Linked DNA regions of Coturnix japonica. The protein of the gene in region 1 purifies or fractionates together with the protein of each later gene. This does not show direct contact. Links are inferred from orthologs where the notes say so. Each region holds a gene or a part of one and is shown in the gene's direction. Other genes may lie near its edges. The genes, in order: CARNMT1 and RNF113A.

Evidence for each region.
Region 2: the proteins of CARNMT1 (region 1) and RNF113A purify together in Homo sapiens (affinity purification with mass spectrometry; 3 studies listed by BioGRID and IntAct, counting the BioPlex papers as one, with this or other methods). This does not show direct contact. The link is inferred for Coturnix japonica from reciprocal best matches to the Homo sapiens genes CARNMT1 and RNF113A.

What each region holds. Positions count from the first base shown.
Region 1 is NC_029547.1:33,102,091-33,113,246, reverse strand, and holds the end of CARNMT1 (carnosine N-methyltransferase), read left to right. Parts: intron 1-1,584; coding exon 1,585-1,725; intron 1,726-5,719; coding exon 5,720-5,898; intron 5,899-7,100; coding exon 7,101-7,214; intron 7,215-7,970; coding exon 7,971-8,074; intron 8,075-8,352; coding exon 8,353-8,469; exon of another isoform or gene 8,470-10,532; 3' UTR 10,533-10,888; downstream 10,889-11,156. Other genes in the region: CZH9orf40 (uncharacterized protein C9orf40 homolog), read left to right, coding at 11,059-11,156.
Region 2 is NC_029542.1:2,224,352-2,236,546, forward strand, and holds the start of RNF113A (E3 ubiquitin-protein ligase RNF113A), read left to right. Parts: upstream 1-6,087; 5' UTR 6,088-6,151; coding exon 6,152-6,251; intron 6,252-6,467; coding exon 6,468-6,544; intron 6,545-6,640; coding exon 6,641-6,745; intron 6,746-7,625; coding exon 7,626-7,733; intron 7,734-8,009; coding exon 8,010-8,119; intron 8,120-8,333; coding exon 8,334-8,440; intron 8,441-8,849; coding exon 8,850-8,939; intron 8,940-9,763; coding exon 9,764-9,857; intron 9,858-10,266; coding exon 10,267-10,373; intron 10,374-10,809; coding exon 10,810-10,895; 3' UTR 10,896-11,069; intron 11,070-12,195. UniProt on the Homo sapiens protein: Required for pre-mRNA splicing as component of the spliceosome. As a component of the minor spliceosome, involved in the splicing of U12-type introns in pre-mRNAs. E3 ubiquitin-protein ligase that catalyzes the transfer of ubiquitin onto target proteins.

The sequences.
Region 1 (11,156 bases):
TCCACGCAGATCTAAAAATTTCTTAGATAATGGTGAATTGTAAGGAAATAAAAAAATAGATAAGGTAGAAGTACCTCTTGAGTAATAGCAAACAGATACAACATGATTAATAACCTCCAAGAATGAGAATCTTCTACCTGAGTAATCTTTAATCTGAGTTCCTATTTTCAAAAGTTTTGTCTTAAGCAATTAGTTTATCCTTGAATTAGTCTCTCTGTTTTTTAAGGAGGACTCCCTGGCTAGCTTACCATCATTTTTTCCCTGTAGAAGAGGCAAGGGAAGCTGTTGCTAAGCAAATCTTAAGTAATTATTTACATAGTCATGACATCCTGTTACTTGTTAATCAGAATGCAAAATAGCTGTAAGTATAATTGAATGAAAATGACTTTTGATTTTCTAGATGGGTTATACAAGGTAATACTTTCTTCAGGGGTTTGGGTAATAACCTTCTAGAGTTGCACTGATTTTTAGAATTTACTTGTCTCCCAGGCTGAACTTCATAATTGTGCAGCAGCTTAGTGGCTCTATTGAATCTGTTTCGGCAGTCTGAATTTTTAAGTAGTCAAAGGCTGTGTACTTTGCTTTCTTTCATTGTGTACTCGAAAGTGCTTATTGTGTCTTTATTCATTTAATTGTTTATATGACTTGTTGGTCTTTGAAGGTGACATGCAGTGAGAGGATGGACTAGCATTCTTGATACATGAAATTGCAGAGTCTTGTTGAGGACTGGAAACATGAAAATTATTTTTTTAATGTACCTGTTCCATTTTGTGTGGGAATGTTTTTCTTTCAGAAGAGAAGGTTTGGTTGTATTATGATGAAGTATGTCAGTTAAAATGTATGCATATGTGTGTCTGACTTTGTTACCTGAAAGAGCAGTTCTAGTTCTGCTCTTGAAAGATGAGAAGTTGTTGCAAATCTCTCAGTAGCTACACACTGCTGGTGATATTCTGATGTTCTTGTACTGATGTCTAGTTTTGGCAAGTGAAAGGGTAGAGAACAGTGCTGTTCTTTTGTTTAGAGAATCCTTTGTCACTTAATAGGCATATTTAACACACGCGGTTTTTGAAAGGGTAACTGCTGTAAAGTTTTTACTGTCTGAATTGTTCATCGGCTCATGGAAGTTTGATTTGCTTTGTGTTTCTGATCTCAAAATGCTTGTTTATTTTCCATGCAACGTAATCAAGAAGATTTCTAGAAAATGTAGTGGTTATCAGTGATCATCACAGAAACAGAAAATGGTGCTATTTAATCATGTTCTTTATTCCTGAAATTCACTTAAGAAATTATTTTAGCTTAATAACTGTAGAAGTCTTCAGAAGAAATATTTTGTTTTATATTTATGCACTGTATTCTCAATAAGGGTTTCTTATGTTCTTTTTGGTCATTTTCTATGAATTATTTTGACTATATGGCTAAATGATATGACCTTGACTGGCTCCATTTGCCTTTAAAAAGTAAAGTCATACAGGAAATATTTGTAATATCCAAGAATATGGAAAAAAAATTGTTTGACTGGACCTCTGTAAGCTTTGTTAAGAGGTATCAGATAAACACTTAACTATTATTTTTGTTCTGTTGCAGGGATTTCTCCAAAGTTAATATCCTGGTACCTGGTGCTGGGCTAGGTAGATTGGCGTGGGAAATAGCTATGCTCGGTTATGCTTGCCAAGGAAATGAATGGAGCCTCTTTATGCTCTTTTCTTCTAACTTTGTACTCAACAGGTACATAGCTTATCTTTTACTTCCTGATCAAAACCTGCAGGTACAGGTGAGGTGAAGTTATTAGTAATAAAAAAAATGAATAAATAAAACAGATTTGTAAGTCATAACGTGGGACACAAATAACCACTTGTTAGAATGTTTTGATGCAAATAATGATTAGGGTAATGGGGAGAAGAGAAGCTTATATCTGAGTTCTATGGGTAAGTCATTAACAATACAACAGGAAGCATGGGTTTTGAGCTATGAAACTTAAAATGCCTAGATTCTATCACAGATTCCCTATGTAACCTGGAGTAAGTGCTACTGTTTTTATTTTCCATCATTTTCTGGAAAAAAAGAAAAAAAGTACACCTGTTTCACAGGTTGTCAAATGTGGACTAATTAATTACATGCATGATATTTGATGGTGGTGATAACAGCGTTAGATTTCATACTAAAATCTTAGGCACCATTTTAAAATGGAAAACAATTATGCAGATACACTGAACCACTTCTTAAGCAAACATTGTCACAAGATATGACTGTTGCATATCTGATTAAAGCAGTAGTGATAAATGTAATGAAAATAAGATGTTGCTAGACATATATTTGCTCTCCTTTTGCACTATTCTCCAGTGATTGTCATCTGATGCTGGAAGTTGCATCTTATAGTTAAGCTGATGTAATACCTTGCAGCTACTGAAAGGAAGTCATCCCCTCCTCCCTAACTGTGTAACCTTTCTGTTTCTTTGAAATTTTTGGAACTATACAAAGTAGCATTAAAGTATTAATTTGCCATTTTTGGGAACATTGTTCGGCAGTCATATTGGTTCAAACATGTTTTTCACCTTCGCAAAGTATGGCATCTTTAAACATTTGCTTGTTGTTTTCTATTTATAGAAAATATATTTAACGAAAAGGCATGCATAGATTGGACTTCCTAACTGTTTTTGATCTTACACTGTCAAATTGGGTGTCACTTTGTTTCTGGGAGAGTTACCAGTTACAAATTTTGTTATTTGCAGGGAAGAAAAATACTCGTAACTGCTACACTAACTGAATTCCAGTCATTTCAGCTGATTTCCTTACTGTCAGATCTGATCATGCCTTGGGATATCAGTTTGGAAAATTTTACAGAATTTTGAGAGTTTTGTTTTTAGTATTAGGTGTCTGTTCCTTGTTAGCCTTTGGAAATCTATATTTACCTTCCTGGCTTTGGAAAATAAGCATTGATCAACGTGAGCAGAACATAGCGGCTAAGGACAAGTGTAAAGGAAAAAAAAAACTTCAAAAATTTTGCAGATTAATCTTAGACTCTGGTTTAAATACATTTCTGGTTTTCATTTGATAAAATTAGAAGGATTTTGCTAGTGTGTGTTTACAGATTCGATCTGCCTTGTGCCCCTGGCTGACCTTAGTTTATTTTTAGGAATATAAGGTACTGTCATGAGTAGCAAGTCTATTCTACATATGACTAACGTCTTCTGTGTGCAGAGATACCTGCTGATCTGAACAGACATAAAAAATAAATTCTCTTAAGTTATGACATTTTTTTCACCTTGAATGAGGTTTGATAGTGTTAAATATAGGAAATGCATCAAGGCCTAGCTATGTTCACCTGTGAATATTTGAAGTATAAAATTAAAATGCATTATTATGAAGTTTTAATCTGAAAATACACTTGTTCTGGAGTAGTTAAACTCCAGTGGCTCCAAGACACCCACCTGATTCTGCTTTATTTATTCTGATTTAAGGCTCTTACTGCTGGTTTCTTTTTGTTACATTTAGATGAGTTCAGTCTGTAACAGATGGCAGAGGTGATGAACAGACTCCCTGTGATTTTTATTAAGAACAAAAGCTGTTAAAAGCATAACCTGTTTTCCTGCCTCTGGAAGGCATACCAAAAGTTCAGGTGAAGTAATATAAAATTTTGTACCCAAATAACAGAGTGCTTTAAGAAGAGCTCTTAAATAGAAGTGTATTTCATGCTAATTAAAAACTGGCTAATCCTTGGTCTCATGCAAAAACATCTTTGTAGATAAATCTTGACACTTTGAGAAGGCTGCTCAATTCTACTTATTGCATGTCCGTGAGTGCCTTAGGATGAAAGTAGTTAGCGTTCTATTTTGAAATCAGTGGTCAAAAGTAAGGTATGGCCTCACTATCTTTTGGAGTGCAAGCGTTTCAGACTAAATATTGTACAGGAAATGTTCTGCCTTTTCTTGAAAAGAAATGAAATGTGTCACAGTTTTACTTGAGGATGTCAACTTTATCTAACATGTTTTGCAGAAAGAGGGAAACGTGAAGATTTGCTGTAGTTTCTTTGCTTCGTTGCTTGTTGTTATTTTGGTTGACTTTTTTTTTTTTTTTTTTGAGTAAAAAGGAAGATTTTTCAAGAGGGACTGTAAACATAAGAATTAGTCTTTTATACTGAATCAGTAATTCCTTCTAAAACTGTTGGGAAGTCTACATTAGTACAATTTGTGCTGGAAAAAAAAAATATCTAGAGGTGTTTCCTCCCTTATAGCTCAGAAAAAAATTCCATTCTGATCTACTCAGATTTTTTTTTTTTCCTTTTCCTTGCTTTTTTGGAAAATTTCATTCTTACACAGAATATTCATAGGCTAGTACAAATTGACTCTGAGCACATGAGAGTGCCACAATAGTTAGCACAAAACATTTGTTGGCAGATTTTGAAATGTTTTGTTTTAAGAAAATGATGCCCCTGTGGTTACAGTTTTTTACCTAATTGTTTTCGTTGGCTAATTGCATGTGTCTGATTATCTCCATACATGGTGGACAAATAAACATCAGTTAATGTGCTCAGTATACTGCTGCTCATACAACAGCAGCATTGTGGGGTATTTCTGTTTTTTATGGATTAAATACAAATATTTACAAAGGTAAAAACTGTTATTTCTAGGACTCTGACACTGATTTTTCTTTTTTTTTATCCTCCAGTGAATAGTGTGTTTTCTACAAGCTGGTGGACTGCTTGCAGTTTACAAGTGTTTGCTGTGTGTTCTGTTGGATAGATGTGTCCTCTGTTATCTGAATTTAGTGATGCGTGTGTAACATAGCCTTAATAATTGGGCTAGAGAGCAGGATACACTTTTGCTCAGGGAATGAAAATCGCCTCATTTTTCAATTAAATATTGATTTTGCAGGACTGTGTGTAAAGGTGTTCCTCATATTTTCATGCTGTTTTTGTCAGTTTTTAAAATACATGTTCTTCTAGTTGGTCATGTCAATCCACAAGTTCTGTTTTATGATGACATACTTATTAGTGCATGCTTATACTTGACATAAGTTGAGTATTTTAGATTTTGCTGACTTAAAATGGAATTACAAAAATTACACTTTGCAAAAAGGAATTTATATATATATATATATTTATTTATTTATTTATCATATATAAATAAATATATTCATTCATTCATTCATTTATTTATTTATATATATATATAAATTTAAATGCATAATTTCAGTTGGCATCCGAAAAATGCTTTTGTTTTGTTGGCCTTTGAAACTTTTATGGTTCAGGAGCAGGAAGGCCTTGGATGAGAACAGATGTGGTCAAGGAAGTTTAAAACAAGTACAGAAGTAAGAGAATCCTTTCTGTAAATAGGGGGGAAAAAAAGATTGATGCAAAATGCTTATAATTACTATGGATATTAAATCACAAGTGTCAGTAATTCTATGCAGGGAATTCTAGTCATTTTTGTTGGGGAAATTGGGAATAATTGTAAAAAGGAGAAAAATTAAAATGAAGAAAAGGCAGTCATCATGTGGTTCAGTTGATGTGTCAGACTGAATTTGCTATTTTGAACAGCTCATAAATTGTTGGGCAGCCTGAATTGTTTTGAACTAGATAAGGTGAAAAAACAATAATAGGTTTAGCATGAGCTTCATTGACGAAAAAAAAAAAGCATGTTGGAAGTTTGTCTCGTACATTTCTAGATAATGTGTAAGCAATTAGTTGAAACTAAATTGTTCCAATTTCTATATTTTCTAGATGTTCTGAAGTTAACTCATGTAAGCTTTACCCCTGGATTCATCAGTTTAGCAATAACAAAAGATCTGCAGATCAGATACGTCCAATTTACTTCCCTGATGTTGATCCTCACAGTCTTCCTTCTGGTTCAAACTTCTCTATGACAGCAGGGGATTTTCAAGAAATTTACTCTGAATGCAGTGAGTAAAATCATCATTTAGACCAGCTGCGTGGTTCAGACTATTTGTTGTGATTGTAATATATAAACACATAAACAGAATATAACCAATATCTATGAGCATTAAGCAAAAAAGTACCAGCGTTAGTAAGATATTTTTTTTCTAAATCAATTTTTTGTTTTGGTTATTAAAAAATAAAAATAAAAAAATGGATGCATCCTTTCCTCCTTTCCTAATGAACATTTGTTACGGTTGTGTCTTTTAGAATAAGTCAACAAGGAAAAATTATGGAAAGGTTAACCTGATCGGGAAAGATGATGTTATGAGCTGGAATAGAAAGTTAATTTTCTTATTCAGTACAAAATATACAAATTTGTATTTCTTACTTATTTATTTCCTGTTATTAAAGCAGATGTATGTGTGCTTACTGGTCAGTCATGAGTATTTCCGAGATACGCTGTGGCAGTGATAGGTAACAAAGACTGAGACTTATGCCAGTACAGATACCACTTTTTTCTCTTGTGATGGTAGGTTAGTTGTGCTGTTTTCTTTGTGGCCAAAGCAGTCTATTATGATGGAGCTGAATTAACCTTCAGATGACCATATTTAGCACCTACTCTGTCAATTATGTGCACAAGACTAGATCAAAGGCAGCACATACTTAACTTTTATATATAGTCTAACATCTCATTTCTTCAGAACCTGGTAGAGCTAGATAAATAAATAAATATTCAGGTTATATAAAAGTCAGTATTTTATCCTCACACAGCATTAGATATCACTTGGAATGCCTATTTTTTGTTACAGCTCTCATCCATTCTGTTTTCATAGCAGTTTTTCACCACTATTAAAATATTTTTGTTATTTTTTGTAGTATTTTTACAGTAGTTGCCTTCCTTACATTTGCTTGCTGTTCTGAAGATGTTATCTTAAGAATGTTAAGATTTTTATTTTATTTCAGAAGCTTAAACTTTTACAATTTCAATGATACATGTTTAGAGACAAACAGGGAGATTCATGCTTTAAATGTATTTAACATAAAATGTTTTGCACTTAGTTTCTTGTAAATGACAGTTTACTTTTAATTTAAGTGTGGTGTTCAGTTGTTACTGTTATTTAAAGGAAATAGTGAGCGTATAAACAAATACTGGTGTTAAATTATGAATTTCTATAGGGGAAAAGAAAATTTAAATTAATCTGTACATTTTATTGTTCTTACACAGATACTTGGGACTGCATAGCAACTTGCTTTTTCATTGATACAGCACATAACGTTATTGATTATATTGATACTATATGGAAAATACTGAAGCCTGGAGGCATATGGATAAATGTAGGCAAGTGTGACCAACTTTCTTCTTGCAACTTCTGACTTCCCTTTACTCACATAGCAGGCATTTTGTGCTATGAAATAGTTGTGGGGATGAAGGCGTCTGTACTAAAGACTGTGTGGAGATAAGAACACACATAACTTTTAAATTTTGTGTTCAGCATTTGTTCAAATATTAGTTACAGTCAAGTTACCAGCACATGATTTGAAATGTTGAAGTGTATCTTCCCAGTGCTAGGTTTCTCATACATGTGTCACACTTTTGTTATCTGACAATTCTAGTGTGCTGTGTTCTTGCTATTAATTAAAGCTCCTAAGTATAAGTTTTGGAAATGAGATTTATGGGTTTCCTTATCTTAACTAAAAACAGGGTTTAAGTTTCCTATGGTGAGAGACTGGCAGGCAAAACTCTATTATTAAACATTTTGTGTGGGATAAACTTGTCAGTCACAGAATGTGAGCACAGGTCTTGAGTAGATCATGGTTTGGCCTGCATTCTAGTTGGTACACACAGCAGTGATAGTAGACTGATAGAATGGAAGAAAGTTTAAGGTACAGAAAACATGATTTAATGGGAAATGAGACTTCATTCTTGCATACGCAATTGAACTACTGTGATTTTGCACAGAATACTGTATTTCAGTGATAGCAATATGTTCCAGCTTAGTGGGTCTGGATGTTAGCATTCTTCACATTTTCAGTATGTGGTTTTGGTTTTAAAAATGTTTTTGATAGACATTTCCATTTTATGTTTGCACTCCAGGTCCTCTTCTTTACCACTTTGAAAATCTGGCAAATGAACTTTCAATAGAGTTAAGCTATGAGGATATAAAAAACGTTATACTGCAGTATGGCTTCCATATAGAGGTAAGAAGATGATGTAGCTTTGACTGAGCAGTATTGGTAGAGACCTGATAAAGTCTTTAAATAAAAGTTTATCTTAAAGTTCATTCAAGCTAGCGTCATAGACAAAAAACTTTTAGGAGAGTAGGTTGTGTGTAATTGCATCACAAGTTTGCTTTCCTCATTTTTTTAAAGTGTGAGGCTTTGAAATCTATGGGCTATAATTAAGTAGCAGTTTATTTCACTAAGAGAAGTTTGGGTAGTGCTTGAAAATGTTTTGAAAACTTACGCTTTTTTTCCAGGTGGAGAAAGAATCTGTTCTGTCAACTTACACTGTGAATGAACTCTCCATGATGAAATACTACTATGAATGTGTGTTGTTTGTGGTGAGAAAACCAGAAGAGAAGTGCTTTGAATAGGTTAGTCAGAAAAGAGTTTGGCCTGAATGCTAGAAATAAAAATAATATGGACTGATTGATGTCTGGACGCAACCTCAAATCAGTGGTGCCTTCCTATTCCTAATAAGATTTAGATAGTGTCTATTTTCTTAATATTTCTGTTGCTATCCAGACATGTACTATGCCATACGTATTTGTACTATGACTAGTGAAAATGGAGGATAAAATATTTGCATATACTGTCTTTGTGCTTTGGAATGCGTTAAGAACAAAAATGTTTTTTAGGACATAAAAATTGTTTGCCAGAGCCAAGCTAATTTTACAAATGCTGCCTCGTTTTCCTTGGATTTATAATGATTTTGGGTGTTCTGCTTTTGGGTGTTTCTGCAAAGAGGTACTTACTGTACTTACTGCATCACATTTAAAGAAGTATTTTTAAATGTACATTTAAAGTCAGTTATGAAGTCTGAAATGATTGAAAATTTATGAAATGATTAAATGACCTGTTACTGAGGCGGTGGCAACCTACCAGGGGGGTTTTAGCTAAATGATCATCTCATGGCCTTGAAACAGAAATATTGGATGCATTGTGGCTTTAAGACACACTGATTTTGAGTCACCTACTTACCGCTTAAGCCAAAGTGTTAAACATATAATTAACAGAAAGCTACAGTAAACCTTTCACTCATCTCTTTTTCAGTGTTAATGACAAAACTGTTATCCATGCTACTTGTAGGTAGTGACAGAGAAAAATCCCTCTTTCTTGAGGAATAAAAAAAAACAAAAAACCATGTAAATAATGTGCTGTAACTTAGTAAATTTCCTAACCTGGGTCAGCATTGTAGCTTTAGGCACTTTACTACTTAGTGGCTTACTTCTAGGTTCCTTTTCCTAATTATTTTTCTGGTTAATGAGGCTTAGGTGGATATTTAATCTGCAAATCCTAGCCAAACCTTCGTAGAAGTAAGGCTGAATCTTCTTTTGCTTAAGTTATATAAATGAAAAAAAATTACTGAGCTTAGAGGAGGTATCATGGTAGCCATTTGTCCTCTTTAATGTACTGGTTTGGTTCAGTACCACCTTTACTGTTATTCAAACTATAAGAACCTTGTGGTAAGGAATTAAGGGTGTTTTCAGGGTCACAATGGTGCACTGGACAATAACTTGTTTAAATGTTTACAATTATTTCCGGTCCCTTTTTCAGGGTGATGTCAGAATCTCATAATCACATCTTTTTTATATTTCCATTGCTAAGTTTGGGGTTTTTCCTGTTAAGGCTGGACATTTGTGCCTTCATTTCTAAGATGAAAGTTTGCATGGAAGAAAAACACAGCTCTGTTACTTTGTTGGTTTGTGTTTAAACGTTAACACTGCACATAGGAAAAGAGCGATTGTGGGTGTTTCAGTACCGTGCCCCTTTCTGGTCAGAATTTTTACTGAGAATAAAGACTTCTGGACTACAGAAGTTTTCAGCTTTACACAAAATACTCTTGTTAGAAACTGCACCTCCAAGACTTTACTCTGTTAATGAACTGCTGAGTTTCTGCTTTGGTCCAAGAAAGGTTTTTAAAGTGCTGCTACCACAGTGGGATTAAAATAAGAGCCCTTCCACACCTTCAAAATAATAATAATAATCTTACTTTTATTCTCTTACTGTATTATTTACTTTGGTTTCTGGTTAGACTTTGTGTTTCTTCACTTTTTTTTTTTTTTTCTGCTCAGATAAAACAAGATTAGCGTTTTGGTTTCCAAGTTCCTGAATGCTAATGAGTTAGCTGAATGTTGGTCCTGCTGAGGCTGAGGGCTGCCCTGTCCTAGCAGTCAGTGGTTACACCCAACATGCGATGTTTCCTACACATATGAAATTGTACCCTTGTGTTCTGGTTGAACATTGCTATCCTTCATTCAGTTGGCTTTGTTCGTTGCTGCCCCATGTTGTCACAAGTGCCATTTTCAGCACTGGTTATAGAAGTGGTTTAATTGACTTTAATCATGTATATAGCAATGTGCTTGTATTTCTCATTTGGAAAATGCCAGCTTTCCCCCACGAATTTCCTTTTAATGCGTAGCAGCTTCTTTAACAGCTGGAAGCGGCACAGCCTTGTGAATCGGTGGTGTGAGTCAGTGGTGTGGAACCCTCTGCCCTGCCTGCGCGGTCCTAGGCTGCTCCATCGCCCTGCCGGGGATAACTGCTGTGCCACACTCCTCCCGCTGCACCCAGTGTGAGTGCGCTCCCAGATCCTGGCCTAACAAATGCTTCTGTGTATGGAGTATGTTTGACAAATGTAAAGCTACCTGTGTTATTATTTATATGTAGTGCACACACAGCACAGTCACAAAGATGGGGATTGGAAGCTTCATGTCTCCGCGTGAACTTTCCGCTATTTTTAATGTGTGTAATGAACTTGATTTTACTCAGACATTAAAGTTTGCAGTACGACACGGCGTGCGGTGTGCTTTGTCGTCGGCTTGAGTACGGCTCAGGTCCCGCGTGTTCCTGCCCTTGGTTATGCAGGGCTCCGAGCTGCCCATGCAGCGGGGCGGGGCCTCACGGCGGCGTGGTCTCGCCTTGTCCCGCCCCACGCGGGTGCTGGGGAAGCGGCGGCGCGCATGCGCATTCGGCGAGTGGTGGTGGTGGTGCGTTCGCCGCCGCGGTCGTTGCGTCGCGCGGAATCTGCGCGCCCGGTTCCCCCCATGGCCAAGCGGCG
Region 2 (12,195 bases), on another chromosome or scaffold:
ATCCAGTCTCCCAGTAACATTTGCAAACATGATTTGGGTTTGGGAAACTCTTTGATCCCCAGAAAGCCCCAACACCCAGTAGCTGCCATCAGGCTCGAGCTGCAGCAACCAACCAAAACACCCCAAATGAGCAACTGCTTTCAGCAACCTGAGCAGCAAAGCCAGGCTTCCAGAGCTGGGGTTGACAACCCTCATTGCAGACACTTCCCAGCCCCAGCTGAGAACACAACTCCGATTTTACCTAAATCATTTCCTGTCCTCTCTGCGGTCTGCTTGTTATTTCCTGCTCGCGAGGAGGCAGCGCACGCAGGCGGGTGATGCTGGAGGCCATGCAGAACCCCCCACCCCCCTCTCCCCTGGTGCAGCACCATCCCTCCCACACCTGCAGGGTCTGCGTGGTGCACAGACCCCATGGGGAACCCAAAGAACCCACAAAGCCCCTTTGGTCCATACCCCACGTACCTCCAGCACGGATGCACAGCCCTTGTCCTCCTTGCCTCCTTTCACCTCTCCCTGCAACATCTGTCCCTCCAACATCTCTCCTCCCCTTCCTCTTCCCCTACAGCCCATCTCCCCCCGCTACCCCAGCTGCCTCAGTTTCCCCAGTTCCTCCCCATGATCCTTGTCTCCTTCTGCGTCTGTTTTTCCCTTCTTTTCCTGCATTCAGCAGCCCCCCAATCCCATTCCCTTCAAGGTCATCACAATTATCCCAACCTATATCTTGATGTTCTCCATCCATGCACATACCCTTCTGCAGTCCCGTGCCCCGGTCTCTGTTTCAAGAGAGGCCCCTTTGGTGTAGCTGCCCTACGGACAAGAGTAGATGTTGCTAAATGTCCTTCCTGCCCAAGGACGGGAGTAGAAATCTCAAAGGGGAAGGGTGTGCTGAAGCGATAAGGGAAACAGAGCACGTTAGTGACCATGGGAGTGTTTCTAAGAGGCTTCCAGCTGCTGTCATCGCTGTTTCAAGGAGGCATTAGTCTGCACAGGGGGGATTTGAGCCCAAAGCAGTAAACACGCTTCTGTGTGCAGAGGAACCCCCACGGCACAGGCTTTGCTTAAGGACACATTGCCACATCGATGCCAGGACTGCTAGTGCTGGAACGGCTTGGTGATTTCATGAAGACCACAGATGATGTCTGTGACAAAGCAAGGAAGCCCAGTCCAGGCTTCCATGGTGCATGTTGGCACCCACGGCCGCTAGCCCTGATTTATCTAGGCCTCTGTTCCTAAGCTCCTTCACCACCTATACAGCCCAAGAAGAGGAGGACTGAGTACTGACTTCTTACCATAAAGCTCAGGATGGGACAAGAACCCCTTCACCCTGCACATGCTGCAGCTTTCACTTTTCCTGCCCTTCCTTGGAGCATCTGATGGCCTTCCAATGGATCTGGGCTTGAGATCAAGGCTTGGGGCTGGAGCTCACCTGCAGGGCACATGCAGCTGCTGGGAGTACAGCAGGAGGAGTGCTGCAGTTCTGTCCTTTGGCACTAACCAAGGAGTAATTTGGGCTGAAGAAGGCAGCATTCAGCCCAGAAGCTGCTCAGTCACAAAGCATTTGATTCACAGCCTCTCACCTGCCTGGCCCTGGGGACACATGTAAGGTCAGGGGAGCATCTGGAGTGGCCCCTTGTGGAAACTCTCCAACTCATTGGAGGACCATATCCCCCAGTGACCATGACCTGCCTCCAACACACAGCACTGCCCTTGCTGCCTACCATCCCCATTTCACTGGGCCCCCAAGCAGCCCACTGCTGGCTGAGAGCGTCTCTGAAAGCTGATGATGGCTTTCCAGCACAGGAAAGCAGCGTGACTGCAAAGGGTGAGAGGCCCCTCTCTGCCATATGGTTCCCATTAGCAGCCCTGTGAAGTCAGTGTTTACTGCTGGGATCACTGTGCCATGGCCGGAGGCTTTCCCAAAGACCAAGCACAGTTTGGGGGGGAGGATCCAGGCCCTCTCCCTCTCCATCCCAAGAAGATGCCATGTCCCCAGCAGCATGCCATGGGTTCCACTCCTCAGAGGGGCTGTTGAGCATTATATTTGGTACTGCTGACATCCCCATGACCACGTGTAGGATTAGTGCAAATGCTGGCCATGGCATGGCCAACCCCTGCATCAAACAGGCCAGCATCAGCCCAGGGACACAACAACCCAAGTGCTGCTGCAGCTCCTCAGGCATGGAAAGGGGCAGCAAGCTGCAGCCTGGGTTGGACAACATAAGTGTGGTGGTCATGGCTTCAGCCTTGGCAGACCTCAAGTCATGGTGGTGATGGGCTGGCAATTGGACCTGATGGTCTGAGTGGTCTTTTCCAGCCTCAATGATTCCATGATTCTAAGTTGGCTTCAAATCTGAGCTCCTCAAGTGGCTCCAAGCCAACACTGGTGTTTGGGACCCAGCCCAGGTTCCTGCTGCTGCAATCCAGGACAGAGGGCTCTGGAGGGAACCAAGTGGTCCACTCATGCAGCCCCCCATGACCCTACTGAGCCCCACCACGCAGGGCTGCCCCTCTCATCCACTTTCCATCCACGTTTCGTGCTGTCTCTTGAAAGGCTGCCAGTGGGCAGGAAATCTGCAGCCGAAATGCTGAGGGATGCTGACAAGGAATAGTTGTGGGGAGGAACAGGGCTGCCTTTGTCAGAGCAACAATGGAGGACCCACAGGAGCCAGGGGAAGCCCCTGCCCAGCCATTCTACTCTCCCACCTTCAGCTCTGGGAGCTCCACGTCCAGCCTTACCCTGAGGATGCTGCTGGGATCCATCTGTTTTCCAGCAGTGGGAACTGAAGCACAGAGCAGCCCATCCCTTGGACTAGAGCCATGTTTTATGGCATCCATTAAGAACCACGAAGGGAATCTCTGCTCCCTGGGTTCTGCTATCTCGTTCAGAGTTCAGAGAGTGGACAAATGCAGCAGGGAGCTGCTGGGTGGGGGAGAGGAGATTCTTTTCCAGGCAGAGAAATGTCTCTCATTAGCACCAGATGATAAAGCAGAGTCAGAATGACAGGTTGGGAGGTTCAGATTGGACATTAGGCACAAATGCTTCAGAAGAAGGAAGACTTGGAAGCTCTGCAGCATGGTACTAAGTGCAGCACACACAAGCACAGCAGTTCTGCCCCTTCCATCCCCTTCTCAGTGCTTCCTTAGCCTTAGAAGACTCCCCCCATGTTCTACCCACAAACTCAACCTCCCAGTTTCCTACCAACATGTTTATCCCTTTACTGTGGAATTTTGCTCCCAGTTTGCCCACTATAACTCATGGAGGTTATGCTTATCAGCCTCCTCTTTTTTGACCACAAGAAGCCAATCCCTTTAATCTGTTCCTATAAGACAAGTTCTCCATCCCTTCTGCTGCACCAGAGGAGGGCTCAGACCTTTGCATCCCCCTTGGACCCCTTCCCTAGCAACACACATCTGTGCTGATCCACTCTTCCCCTGCAGTGCCCCCCACTCGCTGGCCATATGGAGATATGGAGCGGGCTATGGGCTCACAGGAGGAGTGAGAAATATATTGTGTATTTAAAGACTGCTATAATCCCTTCACCCAGATTTAACGTTGTCCACCCCGGAGCTTTGCTAATAGCAAGGTAAGCTCTGCAACACTCCCAGATGGCAGATAAAAAATGGTATTAGTGGAAAGCAAAAGGCAGACACCTCTAGGAACATGGCAGCTGTGTGACAATGGGCTGCAAAGAGCCAAGGATGGGCATAGAGGAAAAGGAAAACCCCTCACAGCTATGGGACTGCTTGTAGGTTCACAGGCCTGCAGGAGGAAACCACAAATGGAACTCCCTTCCCTAATGAGAAGCCTCATGGGGGCTTCTGGTGAGCAAAAAAGGCCAGTACTTTTGTTGTGAGCCTCATAGAAACAAGGATGTATGCGGTCACTGCACACCCCGTGCTGAGCCTCACTGCTCACCTGGGAGTTTGCCTCCTATGGGACCCCATGGGGAGAGGGGAGCAGCACTGAGGCTGGTTCAGACTATAGTCCATCAGTTACCCTGCCATTATGTTTCAATCAGCATTAATAATGCTGCAGGCATGCTGCCCCCAGCCCTAAAGCTCAGCTTGGAGAGCCCTCGTGAGATGCTTTCAGTGCACAAAGCCCCATTCCTAAAGCACAGCACAGGCTGCCACACAACTCCAGCGTTCCAAAACAGATCTCCACCCCATCAACAATGGAAAAACCAATAAAACCCATCATCTACGTGGTATCTCAGCTGGTCTGAGGGATCCAAAGGGATTACAGGGACCAGATCATTGCCTTACCCAATGGTCACAGCACAGAGTTGCCAACTGGGAGCCCTGGGGCTGTAGTTTTTTGGGTGATGCTGAACACTTTGGTTTTTTATCCATTCCCTTTCCCCCTAGTGAAAGCAGAGCTGTTTCCCTTTGTGAAGCCCTGAGGGGGGTCCCCAGCTGCTCGGGGTGGGGGATGTCAGAGCTGGGGGTGTGTTCACGTTGGGATCAAACCTCACAGTCATGCAACAACCTCCTGAGGGGGTGATGGAGGACCTGTGGCTGCAGGGATATAAAGCAGGGCTGGATGGGCGCTGGGAGACACAGCACGGAGATACAGCAGGCAGCAGCCAAGGGGCTGGGGGAGGAGGGGGCATAGAGAAGCGGGGATCTAACAGGTTTTCTTCTATCTCCTCTCTTTCTGCTCAGCTTAAGAAAATGGATCTGTCCAACCCCACCACACCCCCAAGCACGGGATGCAGCACACAACAAAGAGGGAGCTCAGCACAGCTGGGGAACCCCAAAATGTTCCTACCCACCCCCCTCTAAACACCGCACGCCCAGACCCTATTCACTCCCCTCCCCGCTCAGCACCGGGTGCGGACCCCTCTCCATTTCCCAACAGAATCCCAACCCCAAAAGGCATCCAGAGCTCAGACAGCATCCCCCGAGTGCTCCCCCACCCTAAAGTCCCTCGACCGAGCCGCCTCCCGGAGCAGAAGTTCCCCCCTGGAGGATCACACAGACATTTTGGGGGGGGGGGTCCCCCACCTGCTGCGCAGCCCCATATGGCAGCACCGCTATCGGGGCTCCCCACCTGCAGCCCCCATTTCTCCCCATCATCTCCGAGCCCTCCCACCCCGCTTTGTTCCCCTCCCCCATTGTTCCCGACAAACCCAAACCCACCATACCCCCGGGTCCGCCGCCGAGCAGCACAAGGGCTGAGCCCTCCCCGTGCTGTCCGTTGCTCTGTCCGTCCGTATCTCCGTCGTTCGCTCCGTCCCTTCCTCGCTCCGTGCGCGCTCCCCCCGCAGCCCCTTTTATCGCGCGGCCGTGGCGGCGATTGGTTCCTTGCGCGGTGCGGATCCGAGCGCCGCTCCTTTGTGTGCGGCCGCCTCTCCCTCACCCGGCGGCCCCCGCTGCCCCCACCCCAAAACCGCATCGCCGGCCCCATCCCACCGACCCCCCTCCCCAACCCCCCCATACCCCCCCCATACCCCCNCCCCCCATACCCCCCCCATACCCCCACCCCGCATTCTGCCGCCCACCGTGGGTGCGATGCTGCGCTCGGGGTCGCGAAGCAGCGCTCGGGGTGCGGGTACCACCCAGCGAGCGGAACCGCGATGGTGGATGGGGTTCTGTAGGGGTTCTGCTGGGGTTTTGTTGGGGTTCTATTAGGGTACTGTTGAGGTTCTGCTGGGGTTCTATTGGGGTTCTGCTGGGGTTCTGTTGGGGTTCTGTAGGGATTCTGTTGGGATTCTGCTGGGGTTCTATTGGGTTCTGTAGGGGTTCTATTGGGTTCTGTTGGGTTCTATTGGGTTCTGTTGGGGTTCTGCTGGGGTTCTATAGGGTTCTGTTGGGGTTCTATTAGGGTTCTGTTGGGGTTCTGTTGGGGTTCTATAGGGGTTCTGTTGAGGTTCAGCTGGGGTTCTGCTGGGGTTCTGCTGGTGTTCTGTTGAGGTTCTGTTGAGGTTCTGCTGGGGTTCTGCTGGGGTTCTATTCGGGTTCTATTCGGGTTCTTTTGGGGTTCTATTCGGGTTCTATTGGTGTTCTGTTGGGGTTGCTATGGCGACTCGCAATTCACCCTCCACGCCTGCAGGTGGCGCTATGCGGCCCGAGTCCTCCCGTCCAGCAGGGGGCGCTGTGCGGCTCTGCGCCCATCTAGTGCCGCTCTGTCTTGAGGCGGCGGCTCAAGATGGCGGAGGGAGGCTCAGTGTGCGGCTTCGTGTTCAAGAAGCGGGGCCTGGCGGCGGGGAGGGGGCGGCGGAAGCGGCCCAGCAGCGACCAGGAGCAGGGTGAGGGGCTGACGGGGGTGGTATATCCCGATGCGGCCTGTTGTGGTGCACGAGGGAGGCGGAGGAAGGCCGTGGGTCGTACAGCCCCTCAGTGGGGCCCGGTTATTGAGCTGTGTGATTGAGGGGCGCTGCCTCCATCCCCGGAGCCCCGCGGTCAGGCCCATTAAACCCCATTAAACCCCATTAAACCCCATTAAACCCCATTAAACCCCGCAGGGAGCAGCGGCGATGAGGGCAGCACCGTGGTGAGGAAGGAGCGACGGAGGGACGCCCCCAACCCCATGATCCAGAAGGTGAGGTGCACACAGGGCGCTGTGCTGTTGTTGTGTGGGGCACATCCAGCCTTCACACCCGCTGTCTGTCTGTCTGTCTGTCTGTCCGCCCTTCAGACCAGGAGGTGCACAAAGGAGCGGCCCTCATACGCCCTGAGCAGCAGCGATGATGATGATCCGTCGAAGGAGATCGGAGTCACGTACAAATCAACAAGGTCGGCGGTAAGGACTGAGCGCAGATGAGCTTCTGGGGTGGGGTTAATCCCATACTCATATCCCATACTCTGCTTCTGTAAATGTGCCATCAGCTCTTCTCAGTTTTGATCTGTAGCTGTGTTTCCCTGTCCCTCCCCTCCTAACACACAAGCTGGGTTTATTCTCCTGATATTCTGCATTGTTCAACAAGGAGCTCAGAGCAGCTCTGCTGGGAGGAAAGGTTGAGGGAACTGGGCTTGTTTAGCTTGGAGAAGAGAAGGCTCCGGGGAGACCTCATTGTGGCCCTAATACTTGAAGGGCAGGGCAGCACGTTCTTAGGAGGAGGTGGAGCCTTTGGGGTTCCAGAAGCTTTTGGTGTGTAAGATGGGTTTGTTTTTAATTTGAGGCTGGTTGTAATTATTTGGTTTCTGTGCAAATGAAGAGCTGACAGAACCTCAGAGCATTTGTCTGTTCACTGTATTCACAAGGAACCAAGACTAGATCACTGAATTAAAACAGAGCACAGGCTGCCCACAGCTGGGTTAAAAGTTCAGATATAACATCCTGCCTGTGGGCTGGGTGGTCTCATGGCTGAAGCACTGAACATGAGAGACCTGAGATCAGTTTCCAGCTAAGACAAGATGAAGCTTGAAGGAGTAAAGTGGGGATTTCTGTGTCCTGACTCTGCAAACTAAAACCTGGGAGCAGTCAGTAATTAACATCCTGTCTTGCACAAGTACTAGGCTGGATGCTAAGAGAAGATGCTAATAGAAGTTAGAAACTGCTGGAGGGTGAAGCAGGCCATGCCCAGCACTTGTTCAGTGACTGGCCCTCCAGGTAGCCGAGGGGTTTCTGTCTCATGCAGCCTTTCTTTTTACTGTTATCACATATTGTTCTTGCTTTTCAGAAACCTGTTGGCCCAGAAGACATGGGGGCCACAGCAGTGTATGAACTGGACACAGAGAAGGATAAAGATGCCCAGGCCATCTTCGAACGCAGCCAGAAAATACAAGAGGTTGGTCAGCCTCACTTCTAAGAGTTCATGCTATGCAGGAGTGTGTGTGCTTACTCATCTCCTTTTGCATGCCAAGACCTTGAGTCTTTTCTTGCCTGCATATTTGAGAGGTTGGAAGTGTTGTCTATGTAAATGGGGGGACTTGCTGGTGTTATTGACTACTTGGTATTAAGGAAGGTATGGCCAGGAGGGGAGGTTGGTATGGGAGAGATAAAAGCTCGCTTGTGACATGAAGATCTTCTGACCCCTAATTGCCTTTTTTTTTTTCTCTTCTAGGAACTGAGAGGAAAAGAAGATGATAAAATTTACCGTGGTATTAACAATTACCAGAAATATGTGAAGCCCAAAGACACGTCAATGGGAAATGCCTCTTCAGGAATGGTCAGGTAGGTTGGGACGAGCCTGGGATGGGGGGGGTGGATCATAGAACCACAGAGAATTTCAGACATTGTCCCCAGGGGCACTTTTCTGGGCTGAAATGATGCTGTTTTTGGAGCTTGTTCCTATCTAATGAGTTTGGTGTCTGGTTCTGGCCGGGCCCGCAGGGGTTTTCTCCATTGCAGTGACACAGCTGGACTGAGCCTTCTCCCACCCTTTCAGAAAAGGACCCATCCGTGCTCCAGAGCACTTGAGGGCCACGGTGCGGTGGGATTACCAGCCAGACATCTGTAAGGACTACAAGGAAACAGGGTTCTGCGGCTTTGGAGGTGAGTGGGTCTTGCCTGCAGGGATCCAATCCAGATGGTGAGCCCAAGTTTTGTGGCATGAAATTGCACAGTTAGTAATTCATGGGCACCTGTTTGCAGAGTTAGTATTTCCTCACCTGAGGTTATGTAGGTGGTGGGATCTCCTTTTCCTTTTCCTATGTGGGTGAATGCTGGAGCTCTTGCTGTGGCATCCAGAACGTGATGCTTGTGGCCTGTTGATCCTGAGAGGGCAGGATGAGGCCCTCTCTTGGCCTCATCTCTCTTGGCCCTGCCCTGTAGCATGGGTGGGTACAGAAGTAATTGGGTTTCACCTTGTACTGAGCAAATCTCAGGCTGCCCCTGGATGAGGTGTCCTTTGAACAGCTGGGCAATGGGGGTAGATTGTTCATCCCTCTTTTGTGCTTTCCAGACAGCTGCAAATTCCTCCACGACCGCTCAGACTACAAACACGGCTGGCAGATAGAAAGGGAACTGGATGAAGGCCGCTATGGAGTCAATGGTACAGCACAGCCCCTCTGCTCTCCTGCTCCCTAAGCTAATGGTGTATGAGGCCACAGGGTCCTTCCTTCCCTCGTGTTGAAGAGTGAATGTGACTTACAGACTTTGCTGTCTCAAACTGCACAAGCAATGGGTTGATTAGATGGAGAGAATTCCTCATTCCACAAAGCTATGGAACTCTCTGCTGTGGAGTTACCTTAGCTCCAATAACAACTGCCAGTGCTGTGCAAATCTGCTGCTTTCAGATTACCACTGACTGCTACCAGGGGGGATAATTTGCTCTGTCTGTCTATACAAAATATAGCAGTCTGTTGTTGTATGAATCCCAGCAGCAAGCAGCGTGGAGATGGGGAGATAGATAGAGCCATCTCCTGCAGCACAGATGGAATGCTTTCATGCTTTGTCACATCCCTGTTTCTCACTCAGAATCCATATCTGTGGCCCAGGGATGCAGCCAAGTGTAGCTTATGAACTGCTGGGCAGCTGCAGGGGATGTTCTCTGAGTTGAAGAGTTCAATAGCAGCTGTTTTGGAAAAAAATGTGAAAAATAAGGAACTGGAGGATGAGTCTGTTTATAGCAGCAAGTGGGTGTCGCACAAAATGTGCTCCTGTGAGATGAGCAACGAGCACACTGGCTCATTAGACCTAATTATATCTCAATCCCACACACGTTACTGACATCAGTGACACCCAGATGCTGTTGTTTCCAGCAGAGTCCATCCCACCTGCTGTACTTTCTCCATGTTCCATATTTCATGCCCTGTGCATCTGCTGGCCTGGCTGCCTCTGCTCTTGTTCCAGTCTGGTTAATTTTCCCTCGTGCAGATGAAGAGAACTATGAGGTGAGCAGCGATGAGGAGGATATGCCTTTCAAATGCTTCATCTGCAGAAGTTCCTTCAAGAACCCCGTGGTCACCAAGTAAGGAGCCAAAACATCTGTAGTGGGCTGAGTCCTTCAGTCAGTCAGTCATTCTCTTTGGTAGCAAACACTGGCATTGTCCACATGCTGGTGGAAGGAGCACGCTTGTTTGCTTTTCTGGTGGGTGGGGAAAGCCTCTGCTATGCAGGGAGTTTCATAACTACATCTCAAGCATCAACTTGGTGGGGTCTCAAGCCTTTGTTGTCCAAGAACCTTTTATATTTCTATAGATGCTGCCTGATCACATCACCTTGCACCTGTGCTGTCTCTGGGAGAGCTGATGCTGCATAGGGCTCTGTACATCCAGCTTATTTTTGCATCCCTCAGGGCTCAGTAGTTGATGATCTCTAACTCCTGGATGCAGCAGTTGTATCTGGTGACTGGCAGTACCGTCTGTTTCTCCATACAGGTGCAGGCATTACTTCTGTGAGAGCTGTGCCCTCCAACACTATCGCAAATCCCAGCGCTGTTACGTGTGTGATAAGCAGACCAATGGAGTCTTCAACCCAGCCAAAGGTAACGGCCACCTGTGGGATAGAGCTGCTGTATGATCACAGCATTCGGCTGCAAGGTGGAGCTCACAGGCAGAACTTCTCTCAGTGCTTGGAAACACCACATCAGGGCCTGGGTGCCACCACAGGGGTAAAAAAAGAGTGTTTGTGTTTGCCCAGAGGGGGAGACTGATTTCTGGTGAGGGTGCTGGGAGTGCAGACAGTAGCTCTTCTGGTCAGTAATCCACTGACAGAGCCTGGAACTTTAGCATCTGAAGCCCCACTGAAGGGCTCAGTGTTTGGTGGTAGTTCCTGGCTTAGCTTTTGTGCAGATGAGTGATTTTTGGTAGGTGCTTTGGTTCCAGGACAGAGCTGTGTTGGCAGGTCCTGGGCATCCAGCTTTGCTACTGGCCATTCCATGTTGCACCTGGAATCTCATCCTGCATCTTCCTGCTTTTCAGAGCTCATGGCAAAATTGGAAAAACACAAAGGGGAGGAGGAAGAGGAGGAGTCAGACCACTCAGAACATGGTGAAGACCCACACTAGCAAAGCACTCTGTTTTGTATGGAGCCCAATAAAGTTTTCATGGGAAGAATGCACAGATCACAGCACTTGCCTTTGGGCCAGCAGCTGCAGCCATTGGTGGTTCATCCAACCAGGCCTTGTTAAAATGGGGGCACGAGTGGTGCCAGTTGTCAGAGAAGACACAGGACAGAATGGGTAAGCTGAGTTGTCTTCTGTGCCATTAGTAGGACCACGAGGGCCTGGGGAGGGAGGGTCTGAATTTTGTTCAGTCAAATCAAATGCTAAAAGCAGAGAGAAGAATGAAAACTATTGGCTTGTACCAAGTTTATCTGTCACTTTGGAAATGCTGTTTGGGAGGTAAGCCAGACTGCTGCAGTTAGTTGTGATTTATTGCAGCTCAGAGGAGCGTATTCCCTCCCATCTTTTCTGCTGCCTTTTGATCTCTAGAAGTCAAGAGCTTAAAGTAACATCAAACAGGATTCAGGACTTCAGAGAGTGATACCACTGTGGAATCATCCCTTGGGGAGGAAGCCAGCAGCTGTACCATGTCCCTAATGCAAGGTTTTATGCCATCAGTGGTACTTCTCTCAATGATTTTTCCCTTGCTGCAACCAGCTCTGTCCAGGCCTGTGGGATGGGGATAAGAATTTGGGCAAGAAGGAAACTTCACAATGGGTTGAACTGCAAGATGCAACCTCCTAAGTATGGAGCTGAGAAGAGCATAAGCTTCCATCACCCTGCAGAAACAGCAGACTTACAAACTTCAGAAATATTTTATTTTGGAAAAAAAAAAAAAAAAAACCCAAAAACTAGAGTAACAAATTTCATCTGGCTTCAAGTCGTTTACAAACAGAAGGACCTGCTGTCAGCACCGCTCCTCCCATCAAGCACGCTTACAGGGCTGGAATCCCAGTGCTTCATTTGAGAGTGGAAAGAGCTCCAGCACCTGTGGTCCTTGGAAAGGTCAAACTAAAAAGCCTTAAACACGCCTCCAAAACCAAATGCTGTGAGCTGTCACAGCCAGGGATCAAGGGAAGCTGTGTGAAAAGCAAGCAAAGGATTTTTATATCTCATTCATTTGGGGATGATGGTACAGCAATGGCAACAGAGGGCTTAGATCAGTGAGCGTAACATTCAAAGAGGTGTTTTGTGAGTAAGAGGATTTGGTGTGAAAATTACTTTCCCTCCATGCCAAGTCACTGAGCACGGGCTGGTATGGATATTCCATGCTGTAAAAGCAGCCCAGCTAACAGGAGGCTGAGCTGGATGTGCTGTGGGAGGTTAGAAAAGCTGGTATGTTGCACAGAATTACACATTAGGA